Linked DNA regions of Schizosaccharomyces pombe. Changing the gene in region 2 together with the main gene of any one other region gives a genetic interaction. Each region holds a gene or a part of one and is shown on either strand. Other genes may lie near its edges.

Region 1 (5,079 bases), on a different chromosome or scaffold from region 2:
CATATACACGTAAAATATCATCAATTGGTTTGAGCCCAACGCAATAATGACTGCGAATGTTTGCTGTTAGATAGAACATTCCTTTTACTTTTTTTTTACTTTTACGGAAAAAGTATGTAGAAAGGCAAAGAAGGAGTTCTTTACACTCACTCGCAAAATTCCAATTCCACTTTCAATTGCAAAAAAAAATGCAATCCACAATTAAACAACCTCTAAGGAGAATACAGAAATCATCGCTTCCCACCTAATATATCTCACAGCGCATCCTAACGAATACAGTACCAAATTCAATAAAAAGACAACTAAAGAACGAGGATCAAATACGGTACTGCGCTACATCTCATAGCCGAGGTATTCTAAATAGATGCCAGTTAAGGTAAAATAAGCTTCCAAAAATGCAACTTAAAAAAGAATAGATTGTTGAAATGAAAAGTATACTTCTACAAAAAGGATGTTGGGAATAATTCTGTCATACCATACCGTGAATGTCGCAGAATGTTTCAATTTCAGTAGCACTGGCATTTTATCTTTTCTGACTTATTTTCAGTCCGGCTGTTCCCTTCTCTTTTGGTGTCCCTGTTGTCTTGGACAATTTGTCACCCCAAGGACCCTTGTACTTGGTTGTTTAAACAACTAGCTCGTTAGATTGGAATTTGCTTTTCGGGAATTCTGGGACTTGCTTACTCTCCGTAACCTCATTTCTTTTCTCCTGTCTCTTGCATTTCACACACCAATCCAAACAAGTTCAGCGTGAGGACTGCTTTAACATCCGTGATCGAGCCTAGACGGTTGTCCCAATGTTTAACAAGGAGCTCGATGTACTTTTTTATTTGGTCCGTTGACTTTCCGCAAACATGCAGTGAGAGAATACGGAAGTGAAGAGAATTTCGGTAATGTATCGCACGCACATATAGGAACAAGAACAATTCATATCCATCTATGTCTCTTCCGGTTTATCTGAATGATTTGTTGCTTTCTATTAATTCGTTAACCAAGCAACCACGAGGCCCCATCATTCTGCCAAATTGACTTTCACAATCATTGCACAACTATTGCTTCAAGCTCCCTACAAGGTATCCAGTGAGTATCAATATTTTAGCAGCATCGATTTGTTACTTACTGTTTGGAAAAAAATCGGGGCAGATGAGCACAAACAAAAAGCAACAAAACTCTGAAATTTTTATATAAAACATGGATTCTCAAACTCCGATCCCACAAAATCCCTCTACTGCTTTAGTTTAACCTCAGGGGAAGCGGAAACCGACAACTGTCCGCAGAACCGTTATTGGCTCGTTTGTTCCAAACTCTAGCAGTGCGAAAGTGAAATTTTTACAGTATGCAGGCAGGTCCTTCTTGCAAGACACTATAAAGTAAAAGTTTTTTAAACAATTCGACATTCCGGCGAATGTGAAAATGTAACTGTGTGAAATGTTGACTATACAAGTGCATTAAGCAAAAGATCTCATCGTAATTTTCGATCTTCAATTTATCAAACTTTCAACCGTTTTTAAACCGTATGACCTTTTAATACGTAAACAGTTTCTCATTTTTTTTATGTTTTACTGCATTAATCACACACAATAAGATTTTATTTCCATTTCATTCAAGTTGCCAAGTTATTTCTATTTAGTATATTAACAACTAAAACACAACTGGCTGGCTATGCAAGTAATTATTATTCTCTAACATAGAGATTCTTATTTTTTTTGGTACACAAGTTTATGAGTCGTTAAAACCTTTTTAAATCGTGCAACATTGATTCATCTCAGTATACTCGATTATCCCTGTGTTCGATATCCCGCAGCTGTAGCCGATACTGAATGTTAACAGTCCACAGTCTATTTATAGCTAGCTCTCTGATATCGGACAACAGGCAATACCGCTTCATTGACCTCTCGTGACAAGCGGCTTTTTTATAAAGGATGTATTGATATCTTTGAAGAAGAAGAAAATCGGCAAGTTTTTCATTTTACTTTAAACATTTGAATTTGGTTTTGCTATTCTTGCTTTTCCTTCTACAATACTTTTCCATATGGGGTAATAGTGTGACCGATCAACATTGCGTTATTTAATATTCAGATTTCAACGGAATAAAATAAAACCTCAATTTAAATTAATGTAGTTTTGATATACATCTTTAATAAGTAATATAGTAAGATACAGAAATCACCTTAACCATTTCTAGGGCACTATGTTGGCCTACCTTTCCTCCTATTAATTAACATAATGTTATTAATTTACAATCATCAAATAAATCGAAAACCCACTTTTTATGCTATAGGAAAGGGTTTGTAGTTCATTTACTTCGTTGGGGAATTTGCTTCTTTTACTTTTGTGTGATAAAACTCGATAGACTAAATATATGGATTCATCATGATTGTTCAAGGTTGAGAAAAATGTTAATTGTATGAAACGAAATAAACCCACATGATGTTTGTTCATCCTCAATTAGTAAACATTCACCTTTATTGAGCTTCTTTCTCTTTTCGTCAAGTTTACCTCTTTGTTTACATTTAAAAAAAGATGTTCTTCAAACACTTTATTGTTGTAGGTAACAACAGCTAGTCATGTTAGGAACCACGACTTTCTCATATACAACGTATTCTTACTTGTTGATCTGCTGCATCCAACTCCTTTGCTTATTCGAACCTTCTAAACCTGGTTCCATTCCATGAAATTGATTCCCCTTAACCTTGCATAGCACACCTTTGAAGTTCCTTACTCTTTACATATGCTGCTTGTGTAAATTAGTCAATAACATTTAAAGAACTGATTTTATTGAAAAAACAACAAAAGCGTTATTATATTTATTCCTCTTTTTTTTAAACAGGTGTTTTGGGGCCGTTCATAGGTTTTTTGGGAAATCATATAAATATATATATATATATATATATATTTTTTTCCGCACATTTACTTGCAATACTCGCTCGTTTTAGTAATTGCATGAATCGTAGACAACTCTTCACTCTCCATTGTTGTGAAATTTTTCGTGGAGCATCTCGATTTAATATCCTGACTACTCCTTTGGTAAGTGTTTAACTTACCTAACTGTATATATTTACAAAATAATCATGGTTGAAGTCAGACATTCAATTCCTTGTGAAGAAACTAAACGCTTGGAGCTTAGTTTAAGTCAGCAAACGTATAGTCAACAGTACGCCAGCATCTATTTCGCCCGACTTACCGCTCTTCGACCCAGAATCACAGAAGCCGCTTCAAAAAAATGGCCGGATAAACAGCGATTGGAACGCGTTTTAGATGTTAAGTCAGATGAAGACTGTTGGGTTGTCGCTACCGCTTATATGACTACAGCTCTTAAGCCAAACGTTATGAACGATGTCACACAACTTCATACAATTGTCACCACTACTGAAGAATCTCCGTATGTTAGCCCAGAAGATGCTGCTTCAGGTGATATAGAATATGCTCTTGAGGATGACTATGGCCGTATAGATTGTAGCGGAAGCTTTTTGTATGACGCTGGCGTTGTTACAGGAGTTGTTCTTGCAGTTTTGGGCCATGAAGATGAACAAGGTCGTTTCGTTGTCGTTGACGTTTGTTTTCCAGGCATCTTCTCTCATTCCATTCCAATGACTACAGATGAATCGCAAGCTCAACCAGAGTACATTGCGGCAGTCAGTGGCTTAGGTCTCTCAAATGACGGCATAGAAGGCATTCAAGTTCATCAGCTTGTAGATTTCCTAAGAGGAACACTTCCACATGTCTCTTCCTTTTCCCCTTCCTCCATCAAAAGGCTAATTATTCTCGGAAATTGCTTAGCACCTTCTATAGAAATTGCCGACTCCGCTTCTGCGTCCGTGCCCATTGGCAAGAAAAAAGTAAAAAGATATGGCTATGACACGTCTGCTTACAATCCAAATCCCACCTTCCAACTAGATAATTTTCTTGATCAAGTGTGTTCCAGCATAGATGTCACTTTAATGCCTGGTCCTTATGATTACAGTTCAACTATCCTTCCTCAACAGCCTTTGCATCCCGCTTTACTTACTAAATCAAAAGTTTGGTTGGGATCTTCTTTACAAACAGTTACGAATCCCACTTGGCTTTCTCTTGGCAATCATTTTGTGTTGGCTACTAGCGGCCAAAACATTAATGATCTCCGAAAATATCATCCCAAAAAATCTTCACTTCAATGCATGGAAAACACTTTACTATGGAATCATATCACACCTACCAGCCCTGATACCTTATGTAAGTAATCTGTACATTTTTCAAACGATATATTTGCTAATGATTTTAGGGTGCTATCCTTTCACCGACAAAGATACATTTGTAATGGAGGAAATGCCTGATCTATATCTTTGTGGTAATCAACCGAAATTTGGCTGCAAAACAGTCATTAATGAGGGAAACAGAATACAATTGGTTTCCGTTCCCGAATTTCGTAAGACTGGTGTACTTGTTCTCATAAATATGCATACGCTCAACGTAGAAATTATTCAATTCCGCCCCATGTCAGTCAAAGCAGAGACTCCAATTACTTCTTAATGCAAAATATCTTGAATATTTAATCATGTATTTATTAAATAAATAAGTTTTTTCTTACTGTTGTCATCATAATTATCTGATCTACACGTCTCATTGAGTTCTTTTGTCAAACAAATGAGAATTATTACCACTGTGGAACGTGAACTCCGTAGGTTCAAAAACGTTAGTTGCATTCTGTAGGGAGCGCTGGTTTTTAGGAATTCCTAATTGGTCTAATAACTCAGTCGACTTGGTTGGCATTATAGGTTGTAGGAGAATTCCGCTAATGCGTAGGCTGTGAGCTACTAACATTAAAGTGTCAATCTTTTCTTGAGAATCATCTGATAATTTCCAAGGTTCTTTCAATTGAAAAAGCTTAGTGACTCTTCTTAAAACAGACTGAACAAGATTAATAACCTCGTAAACACACCCACCATCTATGCTTTGCGCGCAAACAACAGGAAGTTCTATAAGTTCGTGTACAATATCTTCGTATTCTGTAAAATCATCCTTTTTATGCCATTGCTTCTGTATTTCATTGGAAATGAACAGTTTCTTCGATTGCAATCGAGAAAGTAGCACACCTAAAGA
Region 2 (5,270 bases):
GACCATCTGCATTCATACCACGATTTACCTCCTATTTCTTTGATTCGCTCGTTGTTAGAGGACACGAACCTAGCATAGCATTAACTCCCAACAACGCAGTTGCGATGTGTTGGAGCTTTCAAGGTTCAGAGGGACAATTAGGAATTTCCCTATCACGCCCTGTATATGTAACCAATGTCACAATAGAGCACGTTCAGCACAAGATTGCTCATGATCTTTCTAGCGCTCCCAAGGACTTTGAGTTGTGGGTTCAGGGAATGTCCAGCAAGATGTTTGTATTGTTGGGAAAGGCGAGATATTCTTTAACGGAAGACTCTATTCAAACTTTTTCGTTTGAATCCTCCAATTATATTGTCGCTGAACCGATACAGAATGTGATCTTAAAAATAAAAAGCAACTGGGGAAATCCCAATTACACATGCTTGTATCAAGTTCGAGTTCATGGGACTGTACCCAATGCAGACGAACAACCAATACCTTCTTTAGGTGAGAAAGCCGAAAGTACTGCAGAGAATACGGGTCAAGATTCATCTTAAAGACCTACAAAATGTAAGATATAAAAATAATCTAGCCTGGAATGGTTTGAAGATCATAAAAGAGCGATTCTCTTTTTCGATTTTCCTCATCTGCTTCCTCGAGCATCAATATCTTTCCCACTGTTTCTGGAGGATTTAAATTGAAGTTTTTTGCACGTTTCCAGCGTTGCATCCTTGTCATACCAAGATATGGTCCATATCTTGCCGTAGTGTCAAAGTGATGCAAAATGAACTCTACTTTGGTTATATTTTCACAATGTATTGGTTCACTAATCCTTTCAGCCATAATTTGATTCCAAGCCTCTTCTACCTCTTTTGAAAGCTCATCGTCTTCTTTAATTCTCTCATCCAAGGTTTTGGTTGTAATTGTAACATCGGGTGTAGGCGACTGTTCAGAACTCACTTTCTTCCCTATGTGGGATTGACTTGAATTACTTCGAACTACATGTGGAAACACGTCGCGAATATTAGTGTTTTGCCCTGATTTTTTCGCTTGAGTAGTGCGCTTCTTCATACTGCGTGATATAATTCTGTAACACTGCGGTACTAGAATGAAAGGTGCACTATAAATCCAATTCTTTTTCGTGTTTACTCAATTTAGAGCATTAGTTTGTTTGGCCAAAAGAAATCTCTGAAAAAGTACATTTGGTTGCAAGTGTACTTTTAATATGTATATATAACTTTAGATGACTACTATAGCGATGTTTAAAATGCGTCACGCTGACGAGAAAATAAGTATCCAGCCATCCGCTCGTTCTTTATCGTTATACATATATCAGCCTTCATATATATTATTATTCATTTAGGTCCAAGTATTTAAGTGCATTATTGATAATTATTAAAATAGAAACTTCTTGACGACCCCTATTTCGGTATTTCTAGTTCGTTGTTGGAGCAAACAAGAAGTAAACAATACTCGTTATTAGTTCAGATAGTATTGTGGAAATTTCATAATTAGATACAAGTATTTTAGCAATACGTGTTGTCTTAATCCAGCCTTGGTCATGCAATTGAATCACTTGCCAGCCTTCCTAACATATCTTTAATACGTTTCTAAAAAGGGTTTTGGTCTTTACCGATTTAAAATAGGCAATTTCGTAAATGCAAATAGATATACTTATTAACATTTTCAAAATTTAAAAAATTTATAGTTAAATAGCTTTGAGTATTGCAAAATTTGTCTTTTGTGCTTTGCTAAAACAGCGTAACTTTTTACACTGCAATTGAAGCACAAAGACAGTTGAAACTTCAATTCCCTTACAGCTTTTAGTAATTTAAGTATCTAGTTTCATTAAGTTGTCTTTTTTTAAGGGCTTTTAAACTGTTAGTTATACAGTGGTAAACAAACTGACCGGGCTTTCTCAATGATTAAACTGCACTATCATTAAATACAGTGTAGTCAACCAAATTGTTATATTTTTTAATGCAGTCGATAAATTTACATAATGCTTTCAAACGTGAAAGACATCCTTCGTAAATCAAAATTATTGAATTTGTTAATTGTCCCTATGCTGCAAATAGTGCACAGGTAGTTTGTGTTGCAGAATTTTAGTTTCCACCAAGAGGGTAACATTACGCTATATGAGGTAACACTTAGAGGGTTTGAATGCTTTTAGTACATTTCAAAGAACCTTCCTCCCTCGACGTCTGCCAAACGTGTAAACAAAGATTGTTAATCAGTTTAGAGGAGAACATCGAATCTAGCTGAAATGTTTCAAGCACCGAGAGAATCCACTCTTTGTAAGCATCCAATATTGCGCTGGATGGTAAATTATTAACATGTTGTAGTTTTGAGTGGTGAAAAAATCAGTGGAGAGGACGTACGAAACCAAAATGGTATGTTAATTTTCTTTTCATAACTTTTAACATTTTAGTTTTGGCAACGACCGCAATTGCGAATGTCGTCAAATCATCCTTGGGTCCTGTCGGGTTAGACAAAATGCTCGTTGACGATATTGGTGTATGTTAAAGACCTCGTGAAGAAAAGAAAATTTTAGACAATAATGGGGGATATTGGCCTTTAACCAATATTTATTGATTTGATACGCTAGTGTTGTAATCTTCTCGCATTTAAGGAAATCTTAATTGGCAGGGAAGAGTCAACCTTATATTGTGAATCGAATTAATAAGTATTCCTGCCATTATAGTTCATCTTTTATTATATTTTTTCTTACTTTCTTTTATTTCTATCTAACTTGTATTAGGATGTTACTGTTACAAACGATGGTGCTACCATTTTATCATTATTGGATGTTGAACATCCTGCTGGTAAAGTGCTGGTTGAATTAGCTCAACAACAAGACAAAGAAGTAGGTGATGGAACTACTAGTGTTGTCATTATTGCGGCTGAATTGTTGAGACGTGCGAATGAGCTTGTCAAAAACAAAATTCACCCCACTACTATTATAACCGGTTATCGACTTGCTATCCGTGAAGCCGTAAAATTTATGACAGATGTCTTGAGCTGCAGCGTAGATAGTTTGGGAAAAGAGAGTCTTATTAACGTTGCCAAAACCAGTATGTCTTCAAAAATTATTGGTAATGATTCAGACTTTTTTTCAACCATGGCTGTTGACGCAATGCTTTCCGTCAAAACTTCTAATTCTAAGGGTGAGACCCGTTACCCTGTTAAAGCTGTCAACATTTTGAAGGCACATGGCAAAAGTTCTCGAGAGTCCGTCCTGGTTAAAGGTTATGCTTTAAATTGTACCATTGCCAGTCAAGCTATGAAAACTCGTGTTCAGAATGCTAAAATTGCTGTTTTGGATATGGATTTGCAAAAAACTAAAATGGCGTTAGGTGTGCATGTGACGATTGATGACCCCGATCAACTTGAAAAGATCCGTGAACGAGAAGTTATGATTACGCTGGAACGCGTCAAAAAAATTCTCAATGCGGGTGCCAATGTTATTCTTACCACAAAGGGCATTGATGATCTCTGTTTGAAATCCATTATTGAAGCTGGCGCAATGGCTGTTCGTAGATGCAAAAAGGAAGATTTGAGACGTATCGCCAAGGCTTCCGGTGCTACCTTACTCAGTTCATTGTCAAATTTAGAGGGTGAAGAAACCTTTGAAAGTTCCTACTTGGGCTCGGCTGAAGAGGTTGTTCAAGAAAAATTTTCGGATGATGAATGTATTCTTGTCAAAGGAACCAAAGCTTATTCGTCTGCATCAATTGTTCTGCGAGGCCCCAATGAATACTCTTTAGATGAAATGGAGCGTTCAATGCATGATTCTTTAAGCGTCGTCAAACGCACTCTTGAGAGCGGCAAAGTCGTTCCTGGTGGCGGCGCTGTGGAAACAGCTCTGAGCATTTACTTGGAAAATTTTGCTACCTCTTTGGGCTCTCGTGAGCAACTTGCAATTGCTGAGTTTGCACAAGCTTTGTTAATTATTCCCAGAACTTTGGCCGTCAATGCCGCCAAAGACTCTACTGAACTGACAGCTAAGTTGCGTGCTTATCACGCAGCCAGTCAAAATGCTGAGGTTACAGATGTTAAGAAACGGGGATACAAAAATTATGGTCTTGATTTACTTAATGGCGTAATTCGTGATAATGTTAAGGCTGGTGTTCTTGAGCCATCCATGTCTAAGTTGAAAAGTTTGAAGAGCGCCGTTGAGGCATGCATTGCTATTTTACGTATCGATACTAGTATCAAACTTGATCCCGAAAGACAACCAGAAGACCCACATGCAGGGTTGCACTAAAGCAATTACTTAAGCATAGGTATATTTGGCGGGTTTCATTGAATGTATCCAAAAATTTTGCTCCATAGATACAAATGCGATGGATATTAACATATATTAGCACTATAGCTGTTGACCAATAAACGGTAAATTATTAAACTCAGTAAATTACTACTTTGCTAGTGCTTTCATAAACAAAAGTCTAATGCCACTGTATGGATTATTAATGTGCATGCTTATAATATCATAGATACAACCCAGGTAGTAAAGAAATCCAAAAATGTTTAGTTTAAAAAGTCGAAATTAGAATAATTTATCAATGCAATGAAAGATTAAGAAAATGAGAGTAACTTTATGCTCAATTTAAGGTGCTAAGCATTATCGGTAGTCGAGGGTTTATCATCCTCGCATGAATAAGAAAAACCTTCAAAATGTTGCTGCATCTCTTTCGTCAGAATAGAATTAACAGGAGTAAGAACTGGGAGTTCTCGGGTAAATTCCTCATCGAAATACTTGGTGTCCGTAGGTGAATTCAAACTTGGAATGTACGGTGGTTGAGTTCGCTTATGATAGATGTCATCCCAATTAATGTTACTAAAAAATGGATGAGTCATGACATCTTCTGCATCGTTAGGGCCAGATCCAAGTCGTTTTTTAGGATCGCGAGTCAAAAGTTGTTGTAATATAGAAACGGAATCCCTTGGCATATGAATAGGATACAAAGGTTCATCAGATAAAATTGCATCAAAAATTTCTTCTTCGTCTTCTCCTCTAAATGGAGATTGACCAAGCAGCATTTGGTAAATTAGTACACCAAAAGCCCACCAGTCAACGCTTCTCGTATATTGCTGTTCTAATAAGATTTCCGGTGCCATAAATTCAGGAGTACCGCAAAACGTGGCAGTAGTGTTATCATGCCACATGTCTTCCTTACACAAACCATAATCGGCCACTTTAACATGACCATCTGGGCTTAAAAGGATATTATCAAGCTTAAGATCACGGTATATGATACCGTTATCATGAAAGTATTTTAGAGCAAGAC

The links.
Region 1: of cdm1 (region 2) and cdc1, extra expression of one rescues a mutant of the other (dosage rescue), as found in Schizosaccharomyces pombe (2 studies listed by BioGRID).

The regions. Positions count from the first base shown.
Region 1 is NC_003424.3:4,011,979-4,017,057, forward strand, and holds cdc1 (DNA polymerase delta small subunit Cdc1), read left to right. Parts: upstream 1-3,071; coding exon 3,072-4,212; exon of another isoform or gene 4,213-4,261; coding exon 4,262-4,509; 3' UTR 4,510-4,579; downstream 4,580-5,079. Other genes in the region: SPOM_SPAC27E2.14 (uncharacterized protein), read right to left, coding at 544-633, 685-699; msm1 (methionine--tRNA (Met) ligase), read right to left, coding at 4,600-5,079.
Region 2 is NC_003423.3:2,305,191-2,310,460, forward strand, and holds cdm1 (DNA polymerase delta subunit Cdm1), read right to left. Parts: upstream 1,184-5,270; 5' UTR 1,051-1,183; coding exon 568-1,050; 3' UTR 537-567; downstream 1-536. Other genes in the region: protein Sad1, read left to right, coding at 1-536; chaperonin-containing T-complex alpha subunit Cct1, read left to right, coding at 2,246-2,276, 2,325-2,372, 2,411-2,496, 2,741-4,246; protein kinase C (PKC)-like Pck2, read right to left, coding at 4,597-5,270. UniProt on the Schizosaccharomyces pombe protein: Appears to have a role in the stabilization of the DNA polymerase delta complex.